2 linked regions of the Oryzias latipes genome follow. The protein of the gene in region 1 purifies or fractionates together with the protein of each later gene. This does not show direct contact. Links are inferred from orthologs where the notes say so. Each region holds a gene or a part of one and is shown in the gene's direction. Other genes may lie near its edges. The genes, in order: slc30a1 and xxylt1.

Region 1 (12,846 bases):
AATGTGTGTGGAAAATAAATCAACATAAAAGGGAGGAAAAAGAAGTGAAAATAAGAAACTGTTATCAAACTTTGCAAAAAATTAGAGTCATTGTGCAACTATTGTGTAAAGTAAACACAATATTAACACAACCAAGGGATAATTTGGCAAAAGTAGGGAGGAAGTCTGACTGACAACTTCTGCCACTGTCTCCTCTTTCATGACAGCAATGGAGAACCATTCCTTTAGCTGTTTGCAGACGACACTGCTTTATTTCTAAACAACGATGCAGAGGTTGTTAAAGCTCTAAGCAGGATTCAGTTAGTGTATTATTGTCTAAAAACACAATAAGGAGGGAAGAAGTCAACATGGCAAACTTGACATAACGAATAGTTTAAGTCTGAGAGTACGATATGCACCCCCCCAGTGAGTGTGTATTTTGTAGTGTGTTCATCCTCTACTGGAGTTTGCCTTAGGTTTCGTACCTGAGTTGTGATTTTTTTTTCCCTGTATTTTTATACAAAAAATAAATTAGTGGGAAAAAACACAATTTTTGTATGAAATTCAACAAAAATAGAAAAAGTAGCAATAACCATAGAGCTATCTTTTCCTGCTCCTGCTTCTGGACCCAGAAAAAGGAGTCTTAAGTCACAACGACTGTTGCGACACCAATTTGTGCCTCAGGTGAGGGGGTTATTGTCGCTCGGGCTCTGCTCGTTCCCTCTAATGGGGGGCAGTTGACATCACAGTGGCCTGAGCCACCTGTACGTCTTGTCTTCAGCTGCCAGTTTTCCAATGGTGTCTCTCCTTCCTCTCTCTTCCACCTCACAACTGTCCCTGGCTGATGTCCAGCTTTTTGAAACAGTGACCTTTGGCGGAGGGATTTTTGGCAGACCGGTCCAACACTCTCTCAAGAGCAGACAGAGTTGTGGGGATAATCTGACTTGTTATGCTGGCTGCCCCACTGAGAGGCTAGACCACTGTCCCAGACGCTGCATCCATCTCCAGTACGGATCACACGTTCACAAAAACCAGCTGTCGTGGTTAGGATTTGCTCCAGTCACGCTTCAATTTCACGGGCTGGAAATTACCAACATGCTACTTCCCACCTGTCAATCTGTCACAGCACCAGAAAAGGGATGAAAAGGTGCACAATGCTAGAGATGATCCAAAGCCGTTTGAATGTTTTCGCTCTGTGTTTCAGTCTGAAAAATACAATGTGACGCCAGCATTTTTTTCCTTAAACCGTCGTGCCAGAAGGCATCCTGCTGCAGTGAAGCAATGAAGTGAATTCAGAGCCATGGCAGATGTAGGAGCACTGTGAGAGGTCACTGTCTTTCACTGCCCTGCAGGTCAAATCAAGGGACCGATGACTGTAGGATCTGCTTCCCATCCATCTTAGAATGCATGCTTAGAAAATGCTGTTGGATGAGCCAGTGACCTTTAAGTACATTTACAAGCTACCGACAGGGTTAAATTTATTAAATTCAATCGAAGGATTGTTCTCATGTGACTAGTTATTTTAAATGCAAAAGAAAAAAGTGCACTTGGCTTTATTTGAAAAATCAATTTATATGTGGATAATACGAAAAAAGTGTTTTGTAGCAATATTGTTTCCCAAATTGTTCCCCACGTTCCCCAAATAAACGTTTTATTTGTATCTAGTATGTTCAATTATATGTCAACAAATCCGTAAATCTACTGCTTGTTTTTGGTGCCCTCTAGTGGACAGGGAATAAACATGCTTCTTCCCGCTCTAATCTCGCGGGTTTTCAGCTCTTAGCAACGTGAACAAATGCGTCCTTGTTTGACCAATCAGAGACCGTCGTGCCCGTGGGAACGAGCCAATTAGAGGTAAGAATTCTGGCACCGATTTAAACGGAGAAGCAGCACTTCCTGTGTTTTCAACTGATGCCAAAGAACACGAGTGTTTTGAGGAGATCGGCTTTGGACTTCTTTATTATCTGGATGAGCAAAAAACATAATTTAAGTAACTACTTGAATTAGATGTTCAACTTTTCTAAGGCCTATCTTTACATTTGACGCTAACGTGAAGTTTGGAAACTTTTAACGTTGGTTTCGGTTGACGAAGGCAAGATGCCGTCCTGTGTTGATGACTACGAAGTGCTGTACACGATAGGCTCGGGCTCCTATGGAAGATGCCAGAAAATAAAACGAAAGAGTGACGGGAAAGTGAGTATTTATGGCACAAGACACGCATACAGTATTTTCTTAAATAAAGATACATAAATACACGGTGTGAATGTTATCTAATTGATAAGTCATGAAAAAAAAAACAATGACTTGCTTCTCTGTAAATCAATAACGACACAAATGTACTTTAATATTTGGGAAATTACAGTTTTTCTGACATTAATTTCACAAGAAAAAATCTTTAAACATAATTCAGTATCAAGGAAATGTAGCATTTAAATGTTTTTTGTCATTTATCAGTAAAACATAATATTTTTTACTCAAACACTTGAACTTTAAGTTTGAAAAAAGGACTAAGATGAACATGTTCTTGATGGTTAAAGCATCTCTGCTCTCTAGATTCTTGTGTGGAAGGAGCTCGATTATGGCACCATGGCTGAGTGTGAGAAACAGATGCTGGTCTCAGAGGTCAACCTCTTGAGGGAACTCAAGCACCCAAACATTGTGAGGTACTACGACCGCATTATAGACCGCCGTAATACCATGCTGTACATCATCATGGAGTACTGTGAAGGTGGCGATCTGTCTTGTCTCATCAGCAAGTGTATCAAAGAGAGGTAAATAGAGCAAATGGGAAGAAAGAAAAAGCAGTCATCCTCTTTCTATCTGCATCATCATGTGTTGTTTTTAAATGGCAGGAAGTACTTGGAGGAGCAGTTTATCCTGCGAGTCATGGTGCAGCTTTCTCTGGCACTAAAGGAGTGTCACCGGCGGCGCGACGGCAGAGCCACCGTCCTTCATCGGGATCTAAAACCAGCCAACATCTTCCTCGATGCAAACCAGAACGTAAAACTCGGCGACTTCGGTTTAGCTCGGATTCTGAACCACGACACCAGCTTTGCAAAGACATTTGTTGGCACACCATACTACATGTCTCCAGTAAGTTATTTAACATTTTTGGCTTTTTTTAAATTATTTTTTCTCTAAAAAAAATCTCTAAAGGACATTTACAAGGTAAAAAAAATATTGTACTTGTTATTGATTAGTTTTTTACACTTTCTATTCATTCAGGAACAAATAAATAGGATGTCATACAATGAAAAGTCAGATATTTGGTCATTGGGATGTTTGCTGTATGAACTCTGCGCATTATCGTAAGTTTTTTTTTTTAAGCTTTTCCATCCGCTCCCTCGGCTGTTTGATCTAATGAATTCATGTTTGGATTTTTTCCTCTTTGAGGCCTCCATTCACTGCTTACAACCAGAAGGAGTTAGCAGAGAAGATCAGGGAAGGAAAGTTTAGAAGAATTCCTTTCCGTTATTCCGAGGAACTGAACTCTCTTATCAGCAGAATGCTCAACTTGAAGGTCTGAAATAAAGGATTGATTGTTTTCATCCTGCAATAGACGATCTGCTGAGCACCAGTCTGCTTTTTGACAGGATTACCTGAGGCCGTCTGTGGAGTCTATTCTTCAGAGCAGTCTGCTGAGTGTCGTGGTCGAGGATGAGCAGAGAAAGTCAGAAGTTCGACCCCGAAGGAAGTCGGCAGACTCCAGCAGCCCCCCGCAGAGGCTGAGTGAAGCGCCCCACGTCTCAGCGGTGGAGCTCAGGCGGAGGGAACAGGCTCTGCGGGACAGGGAGAAAGCACTGAAGGAGCGCGAGGAGAGGCTGGAGAGTAAGGCTTTAAGTTATTTCTGAGGCTAAATCAAGGGGAGAATATAGTTCTTTGGTTATTCTGAGTGCAGCGGCCTCCATTCAATGAGAAACCAGTCCTTTGGATTTGACTTATCAGAGTCTGAGATACTTTTCTGAAATTGTGAAACAACATTTGAGGCCTTGAACTGTTCCGCTGCCAAATTGCACAAGAACTAGAAAACATTTCTCTGTTCCCACGCATGGGTTCATCCCAAAGAAAGGGGTTTGGGGTGTCTTGCTCTCTTAATAATTATAAGCAGCCCTTTTCGAAGCAATCTTTGATTAATACATTTATTCACAAATGCTTCAATCTGGTAGATTTTATATTTGCTGTACTTGTTTCTGATGTTCCTTATAAAACGCTTGAGGAGTCGGAACGTGATTATCCATCCTCTCAACCAAAGTGTTGCCATCACATCTGTCCACACACAAAAGTTTGAAATGCAAGGTGTTTTTTTCTAAACTTTGTTTTCAACAATAATCTCTCTTTTTGTACAAATAAATTGTGTTTTCTGTTGTCAGGAAGGGAGCAACAGCTGTGTGTTCGTGAACAGCTCACAAACGAAAGGCTTGCAAGGTAGTCTCTCTTTTTGTCTGTTGCATAATGTAACAACTGCTGGTTTTTGAATTATCGTGTAAAATCCTTGAGTCAATTCTTACTTTTTATGTTCTGTTTTAGAGCAGAGAGTTTACTGAGAAATTACAAGCTGCAGCAGCAGAAGGACCTGATCTTTCTCGAAGACATAGGTAGGGGAATCCAACAAAGACCTCTGGACTTACTGAACTTAGATACAGCTGGGCTATGAATTTATGAATGAATGAAATATTTATTGTGTTTATATCAAGTAAATAAAGTATCTTTTTTTTGTAATCTAACAATGAACTTTTATTCAATAAACAAGTTTTAAAGCCATTCTCAGCTCAAACCAAATTCTTGACAAAAGAAATCTGCCTGATTATTAAAAAGCGCTTTCAAGTCGTGTTAATCAGATCCCTGCTGTTTGATTTTAGATGCGGAGATTTTGTCTCCTGGGAAGAAGAAGGTCCACTTTGCTGGTGAAAACATAGAGAATGAGCAGCCAGAGGGTCGCCAGAGTGCAACGTCTCAGGACTTGATGAAATTGAGACTGCAGGCTGCAAAGCTACGCGCCCAAAAACTCAGCGAGATGGAGCAAATGTGCCAATTCAAGAGCAGGCAGATGCTCGGCATACGCTGAGCGCATCCTGATGTTCTTCATGACTGAATTACAACTGGATTTTATGTTTTTATTTAATAATTGTTTGGCATTTTAGTGAAGCTAATTTATCTTGTGTATTTCAAGTTTTGTTGTTGCTCTCTTTGTTGTCCAACTATATTTTAAATGATTTATAGATTGTGTAAATGTCAATGGCAGCTGTTGAAAGTGTTAAAATAGTGTGCACATTATTGCTGTTTTAACAACCCTTTCATTAAAAAAAAAGATTTTATGAACCACTGTTGAAAATTAATAAACAAAAATGTCACAAATGGGTTTTTTATTTATTATGAACAGACGAATTCAAAGAGTAAATAAATGATTTTAAATGTTGCTTTGAAGCAATCAACATAAACGAGTTAAAAGAGAAACAGTAAATCTCATAGTCCAATGACAATTTAACGTCTGCTCTCCACGAGAGGTCATCAGTTTCTAATAAAAACAAATGTGAGTCCATCCAAATGAAGGAGTAAGCCAGGGTAGTTGTAGTGAAGCGTGCCTGACCAAAAAAAAAAAAAAAGGAAATGAGTTGTCGCGGGATTTCAGTTGTGGACAGCGTGCGTAGCAACCCTGGTTGTCCTGCTAAGTCACGCCTCCTACTTGCGTGATTGGTGAAATAGACCAATCACATGGGTTCTAGTTTTCCACTCACCAATGGGAACGGTGATGGGCGGGTCTTGCCCTTCGTGTTCCGTGTGAAAACTTTGCCCGGCTCGGGTGCAAAGTTTCAACCGTCTGCAAACTGGAAATCGTCGGCAGATGAGTCTGGAATATCCTGGAAAAGAACACGGTGTATTCACACGGTTACCAGGTTTAGGGCTTTGTGGAAAAATGTTTGCGGTGTTCGTTGGGTGTAGATGAGTGATGGTGGCGGGTGGTAGATAAAAACAGACCGGGAAGACGCAGTAGCTCGGATTTTATTGTCTGTTTGGAGCAGTTAGCTTAAACGTAGGTTAGGGAGCTAGCTTACCGTCGTCCCGGTGTCTGTCGTACATCTTAGACATTTTCTAGACTAAAACTTGAATTAAAAATACTAGTAAATTTATAAAATGGCTTGCGAACCCAACCGAGCGCGCCTGCTCTGTATGCTTTCACTGACTTTTGGCTTCTTCCTGGTGGAGGTGGTGGTCAGTCGCATCACTTCGTCTCTGTCGATGCTGTCGGACTCCTTTCACATGTTGTCCGACGTGATCGCGCTGATCGTGGCTTTGGTGGCCGTGCGCTTCGCCGAGAAGACTCAGGCCACCAACAAGAACACCTTCGGCTGGATCCGGGCGGAGGTGATGGGGGCTCTGGTCAACGCCGTCTTCCTCACGGCGCTGTGCTTCACCATCGTGCTGGAGGCGGTGGAGCGTTTCACCGAACCCCATGAGATCGACAGCCCGATGGTGGTCGCCGGGGTCGGCGCGGCGGGGCTACTGATCAACCTGCTGGGACTCTGCTTGTTTCATGGGCACGCCGGGGGAGGCCACGGCCACTCGCACGGGGGACACTCTCACGGGGGTAAGGGCAAAAAGGGGAAACATGGCAAGTCCCAGAAGGCCGGGAACGGATCTGCTGGAGAAGAGACCAACTACCTGGTGGGGAATCACACCAGCAACACCAAACCAAGCATGGGTATGTATGGAAACGTGCATTATATTTGACATGGTGGCGTTAACTGAGCCTAATCTTACTGTAAACAGCTCAGATTCCACCTTAAATCATCAGCTTTTCAAACAACTGCCTGACTAATCTGTATTGTGTTCTTGTCAGCTTCAGTCTTGACATTTATTTGTTTTCAAATGCATATAATTTGTTGAGTCACTACATCCCTGAAAAGTGTTGCGACACAAGCAAGACGTTTCTTGCTTTGTGAGAAGTACTCCTTTACCAAAGCTATCAAAACAACCTGGGATTTGTAGCCTTTATTTTGTGTTCAAAAAAGACCCCCTTCAGTGATGCTGATGACAGCCTCGCCTTCATGTGTTTCTATGAACACATCTTTTCTGTGCATAAGGATTTCAAAATAAGATTATCTCCTCCCTTCTTCATTCAAAGAAGGGTTAAAATCAAGTAAAGAACACCCTCCTCTTTTGTTAAGCCCTGCCAGTTTCAATAAATGAACCTTCATTTCTTCCACCCCTGTACACCGATTGCTATTAGTGGGTCATACATCAGAGACTCTGGGACTCGACAGCCCCGGACACATCATTAGTCCCTGATGAACGACCTGGAGGTGCCCTGAGAGAAACGGCTTCCTAAGCTCTGCCTTTTTGTTACTAAATCTGAATTAGGAAGACTCAGATGCCACATGCGAAGTTTGCTTTCTGTGTTTCACTGGTTTGCGCATGGCCCCGAGCTCTTGTGCTAAAGAATCAGTCACAAGGTTGAGGAGCCCTCTGCAGAAAAGCTGCTTTTGTTCAAAAGGGAAAACATGTTGGTTGATGTGATTGAACATATCACAGTGGACTAACGCAGATGTTGCATAGAACAACAATCTTCTTTAAACTCGCTGCTGGTATCTTGAGGTCAAAGTCTATGTGATTATGTAGTGTGACACTACAGAAGTCTAAACCTTCTTCTACGGTTGTTTTCTGCAGAGGTCAGCTGTAAAGACAGCACAGAGGTGCAGATGAACGGCAACACCCACTTCGAGGAGATGGAATCCGAGGCCGATGCGTCGTCGCAGCTCAACATGCGCGGCGTCTTCCTGCACGTCCTGGGGGACGCCCTGGGCTCCGTCATCGTGGTGGTGAACTCTGTCATCTTCACTTTCGTGTGGAAGCCCTGCGAAGGTCCAAGCTGTACGAACCCGTGCATCAACAGCCACAAGACAGACCACCGCCACATCAACCACACTCTAGTGGATCTGCAGGACACGGACACAAAAGCCGGGCCCTGTTGGGTGCTCTACCTGGATCCCACGCTGTGCATCATCATGGTGGGCATATTGCTCTACACCACCTACCCTCTGCTCAAAGAGTCCGCTCTCATCCTGCTGCAGACCGTCCCCAAGCAGATCAACATGCACCGCCTCAACGAGCGCCTGCTCAGCCTGGACGGCGTCCTGGCCATCCACGACCTGCACATCTGGCAGCTGGCAGGAAGCAGAATCATTGCCACGGCGCACATCAAATGCCACGACCCCACGTCCTACATGGATGTGGCCAAACGCATCAAGGACTTCTTCCACGACGAGGGCATCCACGCCACCACCATCCAGCCTGAGTTCGTCACCTTTAACTCCGAAACTCAAGGCTCCCAGTGCGAGCTTTCCTGCCGGACTCAGTGCGCTCCTAAGCTGTGCTGCGGACAGAAGTCTGCCAGTGACTCTAAAGCAGCTGCTGCCTCTGGCCTAGAGGTGATCAGCGAGGCTTCGGAGCAGGTTCCCAGCATTCAGGGGGGCCCTCGGACTGAGGCGGAGGTTGCTGTCACCAGAGAGGTGGAGTCCTCTGTGTGAGTCCGGGATTTCACATAAAGAGAGGCAGCAGGAAAACTACCACTTTGTGCTTAAGCATTACTCTCATTTTTAGAGGGTTTAATCACCCTTTTTCCCTTAAAATGACTTTTACTTTTTTATGACTTTTTTTTTTTTAAATGGTTGCTCCGACTTCACCAACATTCATCCATATGAACCTTAGTTTCTTTCAATTTTTCCTTCTTTTGATGCGTTTCCTGCCCAGAATGCCCTCTGCCTCCCCACCTTCCCTTGTCGTGACAGTATGGTTGTTCTGCATGTTCGTGGTCCTCACATCTCCAGCGGGGCCTGCATGAGTGTTCCTCTGTGACATGTCAAACCTAAAAGGTGTTTTCTGTGCCAAAGCTTCTCACTGCAGGACTGAGGAATCCTTCTTTCTATAAATGGACCATCGGAGCGCACATCAACAAGTTTTGTAGTCTTGCCTATGGACCTCTTTTCAAACTGTTTATGCTGTGAGCGAATCTGACTTTCAATATCCTCTTGCGTAATAAATTAAGTTTTTAAGTTATTAGATATGATCTATAGATGCTGTTTGAATATTTTAGTTAGGATACACAGACATTGATTTTGTTTTTCTATCTTTGCCCTTTCTCAGACGTGATGCTTTTATAATAATCTGTGTTTTCACCCCATTCTCTGAATCGGCCTTCAGCTGGAGACGAAAGCCGCGTCGACCGGGCTTGCCTTTCAAACAGGATGTTGTGGAATAGCACTAGGCGCAGCAGAAACGCAGTGGACGTCTTAGCAGCACGGTCTGCTACTCGGCCATGCATTCGTACATCCGAAGCCTTGCAGGCCAGAGGGTCAGGTGTGTTGTACAGAGAAGAGCACTATTTTTTTTTTTTTTTGAGCGATACACTATTTTTCTGTCTCAATCTTTTCTTTGAAAATGTTGAAGTCTTCATGAATGTGTTCTGCACCTTGTCACAATCCACACTGAGGAAATGTTCCTACAACGATCTGTTGTTTGCATGAACAAGCTGAGACCTTTGACGACGCTCCTCCCAGAGCTTGACTTGCTGCTTACCAGCTCCTGCTGGTATCCTCCAGTATATAACTCACGTGTGCGTCTGGATGGGTTCGTCTCATGGCGTTTGGACAACTCCAGGCTATTTGCAGAAATCTAGTGGCTCAGGTGGCCTTTCAAAAGCGCGACTTATTCCCGTCAGCACAGAGATCGTCTAAGGACGATACGTCTCCACTTAATGTTTGATGTGTATGCAATATTAAGTGTGTGCTGGAAAATGTATTCCACATTTCAAATGTTTGGTCACTTTTCTTGTCATTTATGACTTGGGCTTTGTGTGCAAATGGAAAAGCGTTTTTATTTTATTTTGGAAATGACATGTCAGCTGATGTGTTTTTGATATAAATGCATATATATATATATAAATATATACAGTATATGTCCCATATGTCTTTGTGAAATAAAATGACTGTTTGGTACAGTTTAATAGAAAATGTGCTTTGCTTTTGCTTTATTTAAATCATAACAATTTTATTTGATCATTAAAATGCAAGAACACTTGGATCCGTTTTTAAAAAATCAACGCAAAATAATTGAAGATTTAAGTTTTCATGAAAACGTTCAAAGAAAAAAAAATAGTGCAAAATTCAGCTAACAGTTGCAAAAAGCTGAACCTAAACCCCTAAAAGCGATAAATGAAGTGAAGCTTGAACGGCTGATATTTCTCCAAGGCTAAGAAAACGCCGGAGCAGCAACAAAACCTCCAATCTGAACAGCGATAACGATTGGAGGTAATCCAGAATCTGAAGTGTTGCATAAGTCGACGATGACAGTTCCATGGCTGTCCTCTGTGGCGTGATTAGAAGGGAGCAGAGTTGGAAAAGCTGCTGATGGTCGGTGTGAAGCCGGTGGAGTTGCCACCAACTGCAGGGGGCTTATGCAAGAGTCCCAGGGCATTGCTGGAGTAACAAGTGCAATGCCCTACCCAGCATTCCTCAGGGCTGCAGGATATGGCTGAAGGAACACAGGCTGACTAAAGTTTTTTTTTTCTTTTTCCCAGAATATTTGTTGTACTTGTTTTAAACTTAAATTAAATTTATATTATTAAAATCCAAATGTTTAATTTATTTAATACAACAAAGTGTTGCCATTTTTTTCTTTAAAGTTACAAAAACTGCAGGGCCTGAACATGACAAGGTAAAAAATGGTCCCTAAAATTTATCATTTTTTGTGACAAGTTACTGTTTTAAAGGGACAGTTTAGTATGTTTGGCAACAAATTGGCATTTTGTGTGCCAAAAAAAATTGATTTTGTGCAGACAAATTAGTATTTTGTGCGCACAAACTATGTATTTTTTGGACCCAAATTTGGTATTTTGTGAGCCAAAATAAGCATTTTGTGCACACAAAAATTGAAATCTGTGAGCACAAATTTGCATTTTGTGGCCACAAATTGACAGTAGAAATTTCCAAAACCAAAATGGTAATTTGTGTGCACAAAATACCCATCTGTGGTCACAAATCATTGAATTGAGGGGAAAATGTCTAAGGACATGTCCAGGGCTCTGTAAAAGCTGTCAAGTGTTGCTTGACGGTTCAGCGCACTGTCTAGTGGGTCTATGACCCAACTCTCAACGTTAAAGTGCCTAGGATAGCACAAGGGTTACGGAAGAAATTGATGCCTTCATCATTTGTCCGCGTGGGCGTGCAACAGCATTTGGCCATCTGTCTCCAGCTTTATCCAGGGTCTTTTTTAAACACTGGTTGTTGGGGGGGGACAACGGTGGAAACGAGGTCGTGACCCCACTGCCAGATGCTGGTACCTCTTTTCAACCTGGGTAAGCTGGAAAAGAGAAAAGGTAAATGAAAAAACAGACACGTGACTCGAAGCAGCTAAACTAAAGGAGAATAGAGCTCATTTGTGCTGCTGCATCCAACTGTGAACAAATATGGAACTCGAGAAAAAGTAAACATTTGCTCTTGTGGTAGAAGTAAAATGTAGTCATCCCAAAAGTGACTTGAATAGGATTTAAAAGAGCAACAAAAGTACCAAAGTACTAACAGGTTGGGCTCGTTCAGTTTAGAGTCTACACCTTTTTTGGAGATGATAAAATTAGGTTTTCAATTGTCGAAATAAAAATAAACGTTCCCTTGTTTGAAGTTTTTCTGCAAATATTTAAGATGCTAGAAGCACATAGGGTTGGGCGATGTCCCCTAATTTGGCCGTTGACGATGTTTGCTGTCAACCATCGGGATGGACGATGACATCGTCGGGGGGGGGGGGGTGTTACATTTTTCGTTCTTGTATAACTGCTATTCGTTATTTTGCTTTTTTCATTTTATCTCCCAACTAATGGTTAATCCGCGATGATCCAGTTTAAATTAGGGAAGTGACTTTAACAGAAAAAGTAACAAGCAAGATAGAAAAGAAGTGTAGTCGCTCCCGCACTTAATTAGTGAAGTGGACCGGCGGAGCGCGGACTTAAAGCTTTGTGTTTGATGGGAAGGGGGGGGTACATGAGCGGTATGTGTGGGAGATTTAAGACTGCGATCCGTCCCGCAGCTCTAGGGGTACAAGCAACCGAACTCAGAACCGGGTCTAAACGTGTGTCTGAGCACAGCTCGGATCGTCAGCACACACAGCGGTTTGAGCATCAAAGCAGAAATGTCGCTCAGTCCTTAGAAAACATTCAAACAATCACGTGGATTTGTGTTTCCAGTCGTGTCCCGACTAAATAAAGGCTGATGTTATTCTTACACGTTTACGTGCAGCGCCACCCAAAGCTAATGTTGTTAGCCCGTGTTAACATACTGCTAATCCTGGCTCCGTTCAGAAAAAGCACTGACCACACGGATTAAAATTCAAATGATGAGCGAACAGGTGTTTGATAATAACCGTAACATTATTAAAAGCACGTTTAGAAGATCATCTCGTATTTTACCGAGCTGACATGTCAATATATATAGCCGCTCGGTGCTGTTATCGTTTTGTATTGAATTGTTACATTCAATAAAGTTTGGAAAAAAAGCCGCTCGGCGGAAGTTGTATCCCCTTCCGGTTTTCAAACTGCGCATTTGCGAATACTGCGCATAAGCGAATGATTTATTCCGACCGAAATTGTGACCTTAGTGAACGTTTTTATATTCTGAAAACATTTTTTCTGGGCCCATGTACACAGTTGGATTCTAATCCGACCATTGATCCCATCAAGATATTTTGTACATGTAACCGCGGCTTATGGTGTCGACGCGCAACGTGGCGGGGGCGTGGCATCACGATGGTGGTCTCTCCATCGGGATGTCAGTCACCCATCACGATGGACGATGATATCGTCCATCGGCACAACCCTAGAAG
Region 2 (12,387 bases), on another chromosome or scaffold:
AAACAATCGGTGAATGACAAATGCCATTTTGCCCCTCTAAATCTTCAGGTTTTTTTTTTTTTAATACAGAGTTTACTAATGTAACCCCCAAAATACTTGTGCTTTCAAAAGACTGTATGTGGCGAGAAAAAAAGCTTAAAATCTTCAAATCTGCCATTTACCGGTAATTATTTATCCTTTAAAGCGTCTAATAATGTAGAGATGCAGAGATTATGTTTAAAGTACAGTTAACCAGTTGCACACGGTTTTTATCCCCAGAAGGTCTATTCATGAAAACCATTTTATTTTTATTGATGCAACAGTGTCCAAAGGGGAAAAATTTATGCTCTGAAGCTAACAGTCGTTACTAAGTAAACAATAAAAGCTAATAAATCAACTCATCTTAGCTGATTTGAAGACAGTTGTGTTCATCTGTGTGCGTGTTTTCATGTATGCACACAAACAATTTCACGATCTTTGTTCATTTTCTGATTATTTTCCATCTTTTTTGAAACAAGTAAAACAAACAAGCTTGCTCCGTTTAGACTCTCTCCCTCTGTTTTCCACTGAAGCACTGCATCAAAACAGGACGTCTGTTTGTGCGGACGTGTTTAAACAGACGGCGAAGCATGAGCAGGTGGAATATTTCATGGAGCAGCTACTGAACGACATAAACAGAGGCACTTTTCCAATGGGCCCATTTAGAAATATAGGTTAGTTGAAGCGTCAAGTGGAGTGCTGTACTGCCTTTAGTCCATTTAGAGGTTTGTGACTCACTAGTCCAAAAAAAAAGCATCTGTGGAGAGATCCAAACCTTCGTTTCTACAAGGATTTTATCCAAATATTCTCAGTGCTTGACTTTGAAACTTAAGTTCCAAATATGAATGTCTTGCAGACACATCTCAATAACAGAACCAAACCTGGCTGCAGGTAAAAGGCTGATTATAGAAACCATGCTACTTTGAAGCTAGATGAAACACTGCACATTCATTACACACTGAACCTTTTTGTTCTTTTTTGCCTTAAAAATAATAACAGTCTACTTAAACTTAATATTTTTGTTTCAAAAGATATTGTTTTGTTTTTTAGATTATAATTTCGCCGTCAATCCCTCTAGTTTTGTATGTGATTTTTATTTTTATTTTGATCATGAAGCAATTCTTTCAAATTAAGATACCTGCTCGTCCTGTTGAAGGAAAAATAAGAAGTGTTGCCTCTAATGTCATGATTGAGAGGACTTGTTTAGTGCCTGAAGGTTCCTCACTTCTAAATGAGTTAATCCAATCCTCCCCTAGTGGGATTCCAGCTCTAAGTTTTTTGTTTGTAGAAATTGTGCCCCGGTCTTCATTCCAGGCTCCATCCATGGCCCCATTTCAACCCCAAACAAATGTCCGTGCCAGTGCTGTTACTGTATCAGCTCAGGGGTCTATTGAATCCCACGCTTTGTTGCTTTTGTGCCCAGACACATAATTCAAGGGAGACAACAGCAAAACAGGAGATCTGGCCTCCAAGCTTCTGGAAAAACTTTTACAATTTGGTGTCTGTCAGTTTTGAAAATATGATATTGCGTTCTTGTGTTCAAATTCCTCTGTGGAATTTTTGTTTATTTTAAAAGTATGTTTTTATTGTTGTTTTTTTTATTCCTAAAGGAAATTGAAATGTCTGAAAGGCAGCTGAAGGTTTACGTCACAGAAAAAAATGTCTTTCCACCAAAACAGCAGTTGGTGATCATACTTGCACAACTACAAGGAATGTTTGATTTGATTTGGAATAATGCAGAAAAAATGACAAAACGCAGCTATATCAAAGCTATTTCAGATATGAAGTCATACATTGATTAGAAAATCAAGAAAATAAACAAAAATAAAAGGAGATGATACCATCTTCTTAATGATTCAATGATTCAATGTACAAGGAGATGTTTGAGATGCTTAAGGCCTGTTCACACCGGGACGAATTTCGCCGGCGATTTTCGCCGACGTTTAACGCCTCGTGACTAAACAAAGGGCACCAATGTGAGTGTGAACCGACGCGAAAAAACGCCACGCGCCAAAGCGTCAAAAAAAAACAAACGCCTCGGGTTCGTTTTTTTTTTCTCGACGCGTCGCGTCGAAATCTATTCGACCAATGAGAATGGCGCTTTTGCACACGTGTCTGGAGCTTCTGAAGTTACAGTAAAACACAACTTGGGGGCGCTCAAACACAAAACTGCCTTGCTGAGCACATATACCAGCGAAAAAGACAGACGCCGAGTAGCGTCTACACTGCTGCGAAGAAATAATGACGGACATTCTTAAATATCCCTGAACCAAGCACCAGTTGGAGCTACTGATGCTTGAAATATTCATGTTTTCTTTGTATTATTCTGACAAGCGCGTAAATACTTGCTCTCTTCTTCTGAGTGAAAAGCGACTTTAAGAATCGTAAAGTTGCGCAGCGCCACCTTGTGTACAGGAGTATTTCTGTTTACATTAAGCGCCATCTAATGTCAGGGAATGAAATTGCATGTTCGCTCGGCTCATCGTCAGCGAAAATCGCCTGGGTGTGAACACAAAAGACATGGCGAATAACGCCTGGCGAATATTCGTCCCGGTGTGTACGGGCCTTTACTTTGCTGTTCGCTCTGAATGCCAAAAGGTTAAAGGTTAAATACAATTAAAAAAAGATAGGGTAGAATATATTGTTATTAATAGTGTAATTGCTCATAATCATAAATAGATAAATATTTGCAGGTTATTTTGGATCCATTAAACATATGGACTGCCAAATAGCTTTATTAGTTGTTTGATAGGGGAATGAGAAGAAGAGAATCTATACATCAGGGTGGCAGTGGATCCTTAAAAAGTCTTACATTTAATCTGATTAAAATAAGGCCTTAAGACCATTAACATATCTTAAATTCTGGTGAATAAGTCTTACATTTTTTCTCAACGCAATGTGACTTTTTGTCACTTAAAAAAAAGAGAAAAAAAAAATTTCCAGGATGCGCTCATAACCTGATCATAAAATTGTTTAACCTCATCTAAACTAATTAGCTCACGTTCATTGGCTTGGAAAAGTGGGAAAGTGCAAATTCACAAAGAAATGGCTAGAAAATAGGGATTACCGTAGTTGTGGTGGTTTAAACCTGTTCATGGAAAGCCTAATGAAGCAAACGGCGCGGTTTGCCAAAAAGCTTGGTACAGTAGGGATCATGGCCATCCAATCACGTGTAGAGGAAGAAATGGCAGACTCTAGCTGTTTGTTTCGTTTTCTTTGTACATATAGGATTAAATTGGAGTTTTAGTGTTCTTCTTAAATTGAATTTTTGTTAATCACTAGACACCCCGAATGGGAGCCGGTTTAGCTCGTGCTGGTTTGCAGCGCCTTCCGTCCGTGAAACCAGGGTTCAACTCCGGGCTGCTCCCTGTTCCCTTCTGTGCCGGTCCCAAGCCCGGTTGCTCTGAGAGGGTTTCGTCAGGAAGGGCATCTGGCGTAAAACATTGCCAAGTTTACCATGCGACTCGTTCGCTGTGGCGACCCCTGTTGGGAAAAGCCGAAAGAGAAACAACAACAACTAGACACCCCGAATAATCCCACCCCTCTCGCGTTTTTTTCAACACATTTATTTTCTGTGGGTTTTTTACACTGTTGACATAACCTGATTCTTATTAGATCAATTGCAGATTTAGTTATTGGTCTTGGTTCAGATCATTTTTTTTAAGTTAAGGTTTTTATTAAAATCTTTTAGTTACTTCCAGTTTCCTGTGTTGACTAGTACTTTCAGATGGGTTCTGGTTGTCTGAGTTCATTAAACTTTTTTTAAATTTGAAGCGAATGAACATTTCAGAACCACATCTTCAGCCAGCTCCAAATTAATGCGAGCTGTTTTGTCACCCATTAGCTAATGGCTGGTTGTCTTTGTGGAGTTTTCATTTTAAAGCCAGGGATTGGAGAGGCCCTGTGTGTGTCCCCGACTGGAGTGTTTTCCTGTCAGCTCTCACTCTGTTTTTGTGCGCATTGACACAGCGTAGTGCAAAAAACACTTCCTCCGACCAGCCTCATTCACTGCACTTCCTGCCAACCAGAGTTTCAATAATGGGAAATGAAATAAAATGAAAAGATGTGTGTCTCCCGCCTGCTGTTGCAACAGCGAGAGCAATACACATTTACAAGTACGCTGTAAACAGGTTTTTCATTTTATCCTTTTGAAATGAGCCATGTTCTGTGAGAGAAGGCTGGTACAGAAAGAAAACCATTCGGTCTTCATGCGGTGTCTTTTTGTTGTGAGGCACCTATACTGAACCATTTTGTTGGAGATTGTGAGGTAAAATGGTAAAGCAATCTTATTTTGAAAGGCTTTGATTAATTCTTTTTAAATTTATTTTGTATTTTGTTCATCGTATCCCTGGTCAGTGGTGATGCTCCTATAAAAGCAGGGAAAGGAAAGTCTTGATTTAGAAGAATAATCAACAGAATTCATGATTTATTTATTTGGAGTGTCTGCAGCAGCATCTTGTCTGAAGGCTTCTTTTTTCAGTGTTGGAATTTTGTTCTCTTGTTTGGTGAAAAGTAGAGGACATTTCATTCATGTTGACCAAAAAGAATAACAGGAGGGCAGCAGGAGGGTCCCACATAGTGTTCAGAGACGGCTACTCCGTGTCCTGAGACATTCGGACGAGAAGACGGCACAGAACATCCTTGTCATCCCCTAATGTTTTTAATTCTGTCATGACTTGGAGGCCCGTTCCATTCAAGAAAGAAAAAACTAGGAGCAGATGGAAGTTTTGGCAGCATGGTGGTAAGTGTTGTCTTGATCTTTGCTGCCTTTGCTGTCACATGATAGAAATTTTTGAAAGATTTTTTTTACTTAGTATTTTAGCTAAAACCTGACTATAACAAAAAGCCAATAAATAGGTTTATAAATAAATATATATGCTCATATATTTAATCAAATCAAATCAAACAAAAACATTATGGAGTTGCCTTGAGCTTTAACTGTCACATTTCCAGAATAGATTAACGACTCTTTGTCATAAATGTTTCCTAATAAAACCACATTCACCCATGATGTGTGTCAGGGCACGTAGACCGTGTCCTCCAGATGATGATAAATGCTCCACAGAGGCTTCAGGTCCCCTGCTAGCAGCTCTCCAGCTGGATAAAGCAGAGGGGACAGACTACAGCTGCTCAGTGTAGGTCAGTAAAAATATCAGATCTTGACTCTTGAGAATGTATTTCTAATGCACTTCATGAACTCCTCATGGAGGGCTACAGGGCCTCTTTACAAAGCATGTTTATTTTAAGAAAAGTTCCCACATGTAATATTCACTCCAAGAAAGTCAAGGGTGTTTTTTTTTTTTTTTTATCTAGTGGTGAAAATAAATGTCCTACTGCAGCCTGCAAAGCGGCCCATTAATATTTCACCTACAGCTCAGTCAGGGCTAAAAATAATTTCTTTGTGTGTATGTTTCCTTGTGTTCAAGCTGGAGTATATTATTGTTCATCCCTGTGTTTACACTGCAAAAACAGGCCCCCTAGAAATAAGTCAAAAAAATCTTAGAACTTGAACATATTTCTTTAAGTAAAGAAAAATCTGCCTATGGGGTGTGAGAAATACCAACAAATATTATGTGAAGAAGCAAAATTATAGTTGCTAAGACGTATTTGCTTAAACTAAGGTTATTTTACTATTGAAAAACGTTCGTAATAAGATTCTTTTATTTTGCAAGACAGAAAAAAAGACACATTTTCTTAAGATTAAAAAAAAATTGGTGAAGCACAGAAGTTCTCAATAGGAACACTTGAAAACTGACAGAAGAATACTTGACCAAGTTATGCATCTATTTCTGTTCCATTTGATTCTTAAAAAAAAAACAAAAAGTAGCTTGAAATCATGTTTTGAGGTTTTTTGATACGATAATGCTCAAATGTAATTTTTTTAAATTATAATATCAAAACAACATGTTTATAGTGGTATAGTAAACTCTTTATGACAAGCTGGTAAAGCACAGATCTGTCTTTGGTGTTGCACTTGTAAAGTTTGAATTAAAGAATGAGATTTTTTATTTTGTAACCTATTGTTATGCTGCACAGTCGTGTAGTGGTTGGTGTTTTTGCTTTACGGTGAGAAGGCCCTGGTTTGAATCCCAGCTTGGTCCTTTCTATTTGGAGTTTGCATGTTCTCCCTGTGCATGCATTGGTTTTCTCAGACCAGTCCGGCTTCCTCCCACAGTCCAAATACACGCCTCATGGGTTGATCGTAGGTTAATTGGTGTTTCCAAAAATACCCCTTAGTGTGAATGTGTGGTCGTGTGGCCTTTCGACAGACCAGTGACCTGATTGAGTGTGTGTTTATGGTTGTTTGACCCGCACATCGACTGGGAACATATCCAGAGTGTTCCTTGCCTTCGCCCAACAGAACTGGGACAGGTTCCAGCAACCCCACGACCCTGAAAGAGATTCAGCAGGTTCAGAGAATGGATCCAATACTTAACATGTATTATACCATGGTCTGGGTGAATACTCGATTCTGATCGGCTGCTGGGTATGCGTTAAAACCTGATAATCTCACGGTGAAAAAAGAAGTTCCGGTCGGCTAGTTTAAATGATTTGTATCACTGCGCCGGCTTCTGTAAAACAACCTTTTGCTTCATCATCATCTGGGCAAAAACAAGCGGTAAGCGATTAACTTTCCCTCTGAATTGATGATTTATTCAACCCATCGGGACGATCAGCATATATATATCGCCGAATCTTGACTGCAGCGGTGGTGCTGCGCCACGCGGACTATATGTTATATATATATGTACTATATGTTACGTGATGCGGCGCATCGGACGGTTCATGCTTTCACAGATCTTTCTTTTCATAAAGCTTGATGAACATGTTGCAGGGCCAAGTTGCTGGCAACTTGGTTGATAAGTGCCTTCAACATAACCAACCACACTGCCTCTCTTTCCTCAGACACACCTTCTGGCAGTACCGCAAGGAGAACCCCCAGACCAAAGTAGGAGAACCTCCTCCTGACGGACTCCCAGGTTTCAACAGTGGCGTGATGCTATTGGACCTGCAGGGAATGAGGGCCTCAGCTCTCTATAACCAGCTTCTAGAGCCAAGTAATGTTGCCAAACTGGCAGACAAGTATCGCTTTAGAGGTCACCTGGGTGACCAGGACTTCTTCACTATGATTGGCATGGAGCATCCTAACCTGTTTTATTCCTTACCCTGCGGCTGGAACCGGCAGCTGTGCACCTGGTGGAGGGACCACGGTTACGCAGACGTCTTTCAGTTGTACTATCGTTGCGAGGGACCTGTTTATATCTACCATGGAAACTGTAATTCCCCCATACCAGAAGACTGAACTACGTCACCGCCACTCACATGTTCTTTAGGATTCCTTCTTGTTGGGAGGCACAACTGGATTGGTTGACTTTCTTCAACGCTTTCCAAACTTGACCTGTGCCTGCCAAGGGGTTCATGACGGACTAACTAGTGAAGCTGTTAGCTAGGAGGGCAGAACCAAAGCACTCCAAATTAATGTACCGATGAGAAATGTTCTGGATTACAACATAAGAGCAAAGCACAAATGATAAAAAGGATTCTCATCTTTGTAGGCTTTGCCGTGTCATTCAAACCTGCATAATTTCATGCAAATTAATGTTTCTGTTTATACCTTAAGAAAAATAAATGTTTAATTTATATTCTATTGAAAACAAACTTTAAAATCTTAACAAATCAATAGAAAAAAGGTTTTTGGCATTATAGATAAAAACATTCTAATATTGATGAAAATGAACACAACGGTGGACTTTTCATCTTTCTGCAGCACTGTGGCAGCTTCTTCCATGAGCTGGTGGAAAAAGAGGTGAGTCAATGGAGCATTAATGATCATGTTTTGCGCTCAGCATTTGCATTTTACCGAGGCCAAACACAAACCTACATCAGTGGGCGGTCCAGACGCTGACCCACTTTGTCTTTACTGGCTCTGTGAAAACAGAACTGACATTTGGACTAAAAAAGAAAATGTGGCAACTACTGAAACAATTGTATAATTTCATGAAAATGAAAGTATAAGGAACATTTTTCAACACACAGAATTTGAAAATAAAAACAATGTGATAACTTATATTTTATTGTTTGTTTTTGTTTTTTTTGAATGAGGAGTCATGTTTGGAAAAAGTTATTTGGTCAGTTGACTGAGACTACAACCAGTCTGAATGATCCATTTGGTCTGCAAGTGAATGGTAAGTGTAGAAATCCTTGAGTTTCTGCTCAAAGATATTGGTAAGTACGGGTTTGTTAAAACTCTTTTTAGAACCTTCAAAAGATATTTTGAGATTCATATTTTCACATTATAGCCACACAAAAAAGCAAAAGTGAATCGGTTTTCTCAGAATTCAACATATTTGTGTCTTTGTCTCCTTCGCTGCTTTCTTTAAAAGATAAAGCTCCTATGAAACTGAAATGTAGCGACTCTTTAACTGTATCAAAGCAGCTCATTATGCTGAGTCAATAGAGAATGGGAAGTGGATATCTTGCTGGGATTTGTTTAGACGCCATATTGTCTGCCCGTTTCCCCCTTGGCTGTCCTTTGTGTGCAGGAACGCTGCATTCCAAAAGGAGGACCGTGTTGAAAGCACAAATTGTCAGATTGGTCTCATGAATCAAGTCGGACTTTAGACCCAACTGCTACATTTGTGCGATGCAAGCAAAAAAGAGACTGTCTATGAAGACTCTCATTCATCCAGGTTGATTCCATCATAGTAGTAGGTTTAGGGGCTGTCATCTGAAAAGTGACTAGTTTTTACTGAGTCATTTTTAATTCCTTTCCATCATTTTGACTTATAGGTTGGTGAAAGAGGCGCTACAAGGTAATGTAGTGGTAGTTGGAGCTTTCATTTCACAGTAAGAAGACCCTGGTTCAAATCCTGGCTGGGACCTTTCTGTGTGGAGTTTGCATCCGCTTTCTCCCCACATCCCAAAAACATGCTGCATGGGTTAACTGGCGACGCTAAATTGTGAGTGTGTGACCCTACCACCACTTGATGACCCAATCGTAGCTGGAATAGGATCCAGCATCTTCATGACCCCAAACGAGATTAAATTGGTTTGGAAGATGGATAAAGAGGTGAAAGGGTATCTGTGCAGCCGTGGTGTAGAGGTAGATCGGTTGACTTCTGATCAGCAAGATCACAGGTTCAGTTCTTGCCCTGCCCACTCATGCATCGGAGTGTCCTTGGGCAAGACGCAATGTGAACCCCACATTGGTACCAGTGTTTGGCAACGGAGCCGCCATCAGTGTGTGAATTTGTGTGTGTGTTTGGGGATGAATCTGACTGTCACTGTAAAGCGCTTCTGGTCTTCAAAGAAGGTAGTAAAGCACCAAATATTTACATTGTGGGATGCCTTTAACAATCTTTTTACCGGTAGTCTGTATTTTGGACTAGTCACATTAAAGCATAAGATTTTTTTCCTATTTAAACGTATTTTGGAATCTTATGCAGCAGTTTTGCAGCACCTCCTCCAGGTATGTAAAGCTTTAGTCACATGCACCATGTCTGGGTTGACCCGTATGGCTGCAGCAGGTTTTTGGGTTGTCCAGGCCCCGCAGAGGGGTTGTAGAGAGGAGCGGCTGTGCCTTTCAGTTCCCTTTTGGCATTTTCATATGCAACGTATGATTGTCCTGCCTGTGTTAAGTATATTGTGATATATTTGTAAGGATCATGTCATTTGCTCGCACTTAGGACGTACGGGTGATGCTGTTGGACGGTGCCCTTCATGTTGCAGTCTAGTCGTCAGTAAGGTTCTTTACTGATGGCGTGCAAATATGAGTACCTGTAGGACCCCATAGGATGCCCACACAAACCACATTCTGATTGTCTCATTTCCTCTTTTTTAACTGTCAGACTGTGTGCAAGGGGCGCACAATTTGATTTAAACAGCCCAAACGAACAGAATTTGGAGTGGAGTTAATAAAAAAGAAAAATGCGTACGACAAGTACGTGTCTCCCCTATTTCAACCTTTACTTACCCTTGTAAGTACCCTTGTTAAGTGTTCCCTATGACCTGTCGCCTGTAGAAAAGAATGTGCGTGAATAATCACGCTCTACGAGCTGGATATTTTTTGCAGACCACCCCTGTGTCTCTAAAAAGTTTGCCCATTTTTCACCCGTATTCACCTCTAAGGGCAGTTGTGTCTAACTAAGCCGTAAACTACTTGATCCCCAAAAAACACGCAGCAGAAGTTATGCACTGTTCTTCAGGTAATGCTTGCCACACCACAAAGTAACCTTACAGAGAAACCTCATCACCAAGTTTCCTTTCGTTGAATAAAGCCTGACGATCACACAACTATTAAGTTCCCCTGGGTTTAACAACGAAGACTTGTCCCCTCATTCCTTTATAAACGTTTTATTGTAACCATGTAGCAAAATGTAACCTTTAGGAAGAATTTTGAACCAAACGTTGAGCATATTTCTGGTATCTTTAAAATCAATTTTGTAAAAACTAATTACCGGTATGAGGATTGACTTTGCTGGTATCTGTGTGGTTTGGAAGCAGAGCTTTCTAACCCTCATGTCCACAGACAGACAAGGCTGTGATCCACTGCAGGGTTCAGAATAATCCTGTGAAGGGAACATCCTCATGTTCTCCATTATATAAGCACATGTCTGTGCGCTCATTTGTCTGCTTCCAGCTAGACATGACCCATTTCTGTCACTCCTATACTCCCAACACAAGTTTAAAAGCTTCACAGGAAAATAACCAGCCTTGACCTCTGGCTTTGAAACTAAAAAGCCTCTTTATCGAGTTTCCTATATGTATTCTTTTTCATTTATATTCCCTTTTTCCAGTGATTTTCACTTTGCTGAATCATATTCAATGCCCTTTTCATACCAAAATAGGCTGATGACTGTATAAGAACTAAGATAAAAAGAAGGTTATGTGTTTCTTGAGGGCTTTCAGCCTCAAGGTTTAAGATGTTTTGGAGAAATAGAAAGAGATGTAATGTAGTTTTAAAATTATGACAGTTGTTCAGCATTGGTGTGAATGAGGTGATGCAAAAAATAAGGTGCAGCATCAGAAATCTACTCTTTAAGCTTTTCCCTGTATAGCTTAAGCAGCAAACCTTTATTACATCTTATTTTATTCCCTGCAATTTATTACACCTCTTGTAATAAATCCTTCATCCTGCTTTCATCAGCCAGCACTAATTATTTCTACTTTGTTTCTGGGCAGAAATAACCTTTATGTGTTTTTCATGCACATATTTATACTAAAAACAGCTTAATCCCAAGGTTATTATCAGTAATTTGAAGTTATAGGTAATCTCTGAATGTATCTAGAACAAAGTAGCTGCATCTTCTTTTTTGCATGTTTGATTTGATGTTGCTAAATGATGCTAAAATGATCACTGAGGGCCGTCCAACCTGTTTGACAACAAATGGATCTGGAGCCAATAAACCTAAACATATACAAAGGATTTTCCATAGTGCATGTGAGTGTTCAACACTCTGTTCCACTCGGGGGAAAAAATGTAGGCCAATTTCTTCCCAAACAGATTGTCCGACGTGTCGCTTCCTCTGTCCCCCATTCTATCTGTCGGTCTCTCCACAGAAGCACTGCTTGTTTTGCTTTCACTTAGTGGCTGCAGAATGTGCTTATCTGCAACATCCTGCTGCAAATTCTCTTCTTTGTCACCGCAGCTCAGGCACTCGACACAAAGCCGAACAACCCAGCGTTCATTAATCATTGTTTGTCTTAACTGCAGCATTGCTGAATCACAAATTGAAAGCATCCTGCGTCAAACACCTGTCGTCTTTAAAGATCAGGTTCAGGTGATGAATAAAAGCTGTCTTGGAACAGCCTGAATTCAAGAGCAAATCTTTTGATTCAAATGGAAATCAGTTCTTTGTCATCCAACCGTTTGACCTCTGGGAGCATCAGACAGGTTTTATTGACTTTTTGTGCAGCGTTTTGCTATCGCACCTAATTAGAATCTGTGCTGTGAGTTAGTCAAAGCGTAGATGGAAATAAATTCATGACGTGTCCTTGCTCTGTGAGGATTTAAATAAGCAATAAATGGAAAATTCAATTATTTTAAATTATTCTTTTCCTTTCATTCTTATTTCTTTTGACTAATGTAATTGGGACGTGTTTTAAAAGTTTACATGAAAAGGGCTTCATAGATAAACTTGGTTTAATTGATAAATATTAATTACCAAATGTAGCTCAAACTACTGTGTTTTAAATCAAAAGCCTAAAATGACATGATTCATAATTAATTTAAAAAAAGTTTCTGTTGCCTTACATCTTTAACCCTTGTGCTATCTTTGATGACCCCACCCTTACATTGACGTGTTCTCCCCACCATGACAAAGGTGGATAAAGGTGGAAAGATTTCATGTCATCCATGGACACCAGTGA

Evidence for each region.
Region 2: the proteins of slc30a1 (region 1) and xxylt1 purify together in Homo sapiens (co-immunoprecipitation; 3 studies listed by BioGRID and IntAct, with this or other methods). This does not show direct contact. The link is inferred for Oryzias latipes from reciprocal best matches to the Homo sapiens genes SLC30A1 and XXYLT1.

Annotation. Positions count from the first base shown.
Region 1 is NC_019882.2:6,331,428-6,344,273, forward strand, and holds slc30a1 (zinc transporter 1), read left to right. Parts: upstream 1-5,755; 5' UTR 5,756-6,111; coding exon 6,112-6,679; intron 6,680-7,644; coding exon 7,645-8,504; 3' UTR 8,505-9,990; downstream 9,991-12,846. Other genes in the region: serine/threonine-protein kinase Nek2, read left to right, coding at 2,077-2,172, 2,533-2,750, 2,832-3,072, 3,205-3,287, 3,373-3,499, 3,573-3,807, 4,350-4,404, 4,507-4,574 and 1 more. UniProt on the Homo sapiens protein: Zinc ion:proton antiporter that could function at the plasma membrane mediating zinc efflux from cells against its electrochemical gradient protecting them from intracellular zinc accumulation and toxicity.
Region 2 is NC_019862.2:13,013,386-13,025,772, reverse strand, and holds the end of xxylt1 (xyloside xylosyltransferase 1), read left to right. Parts: intron 1-6,924; coding exon 6,925-7,321; 3' UTR 7,322-8,086; downstream 8,087-12,387. UniProt on the Homo sapiens protein: Alpha-1,3-xylosyltransferase, which elongates the O-linked xylose-glucose disaccharide attached to EGF-like repeats in the extracellular domain of target proteins by catalyzing the addition of the second xylose.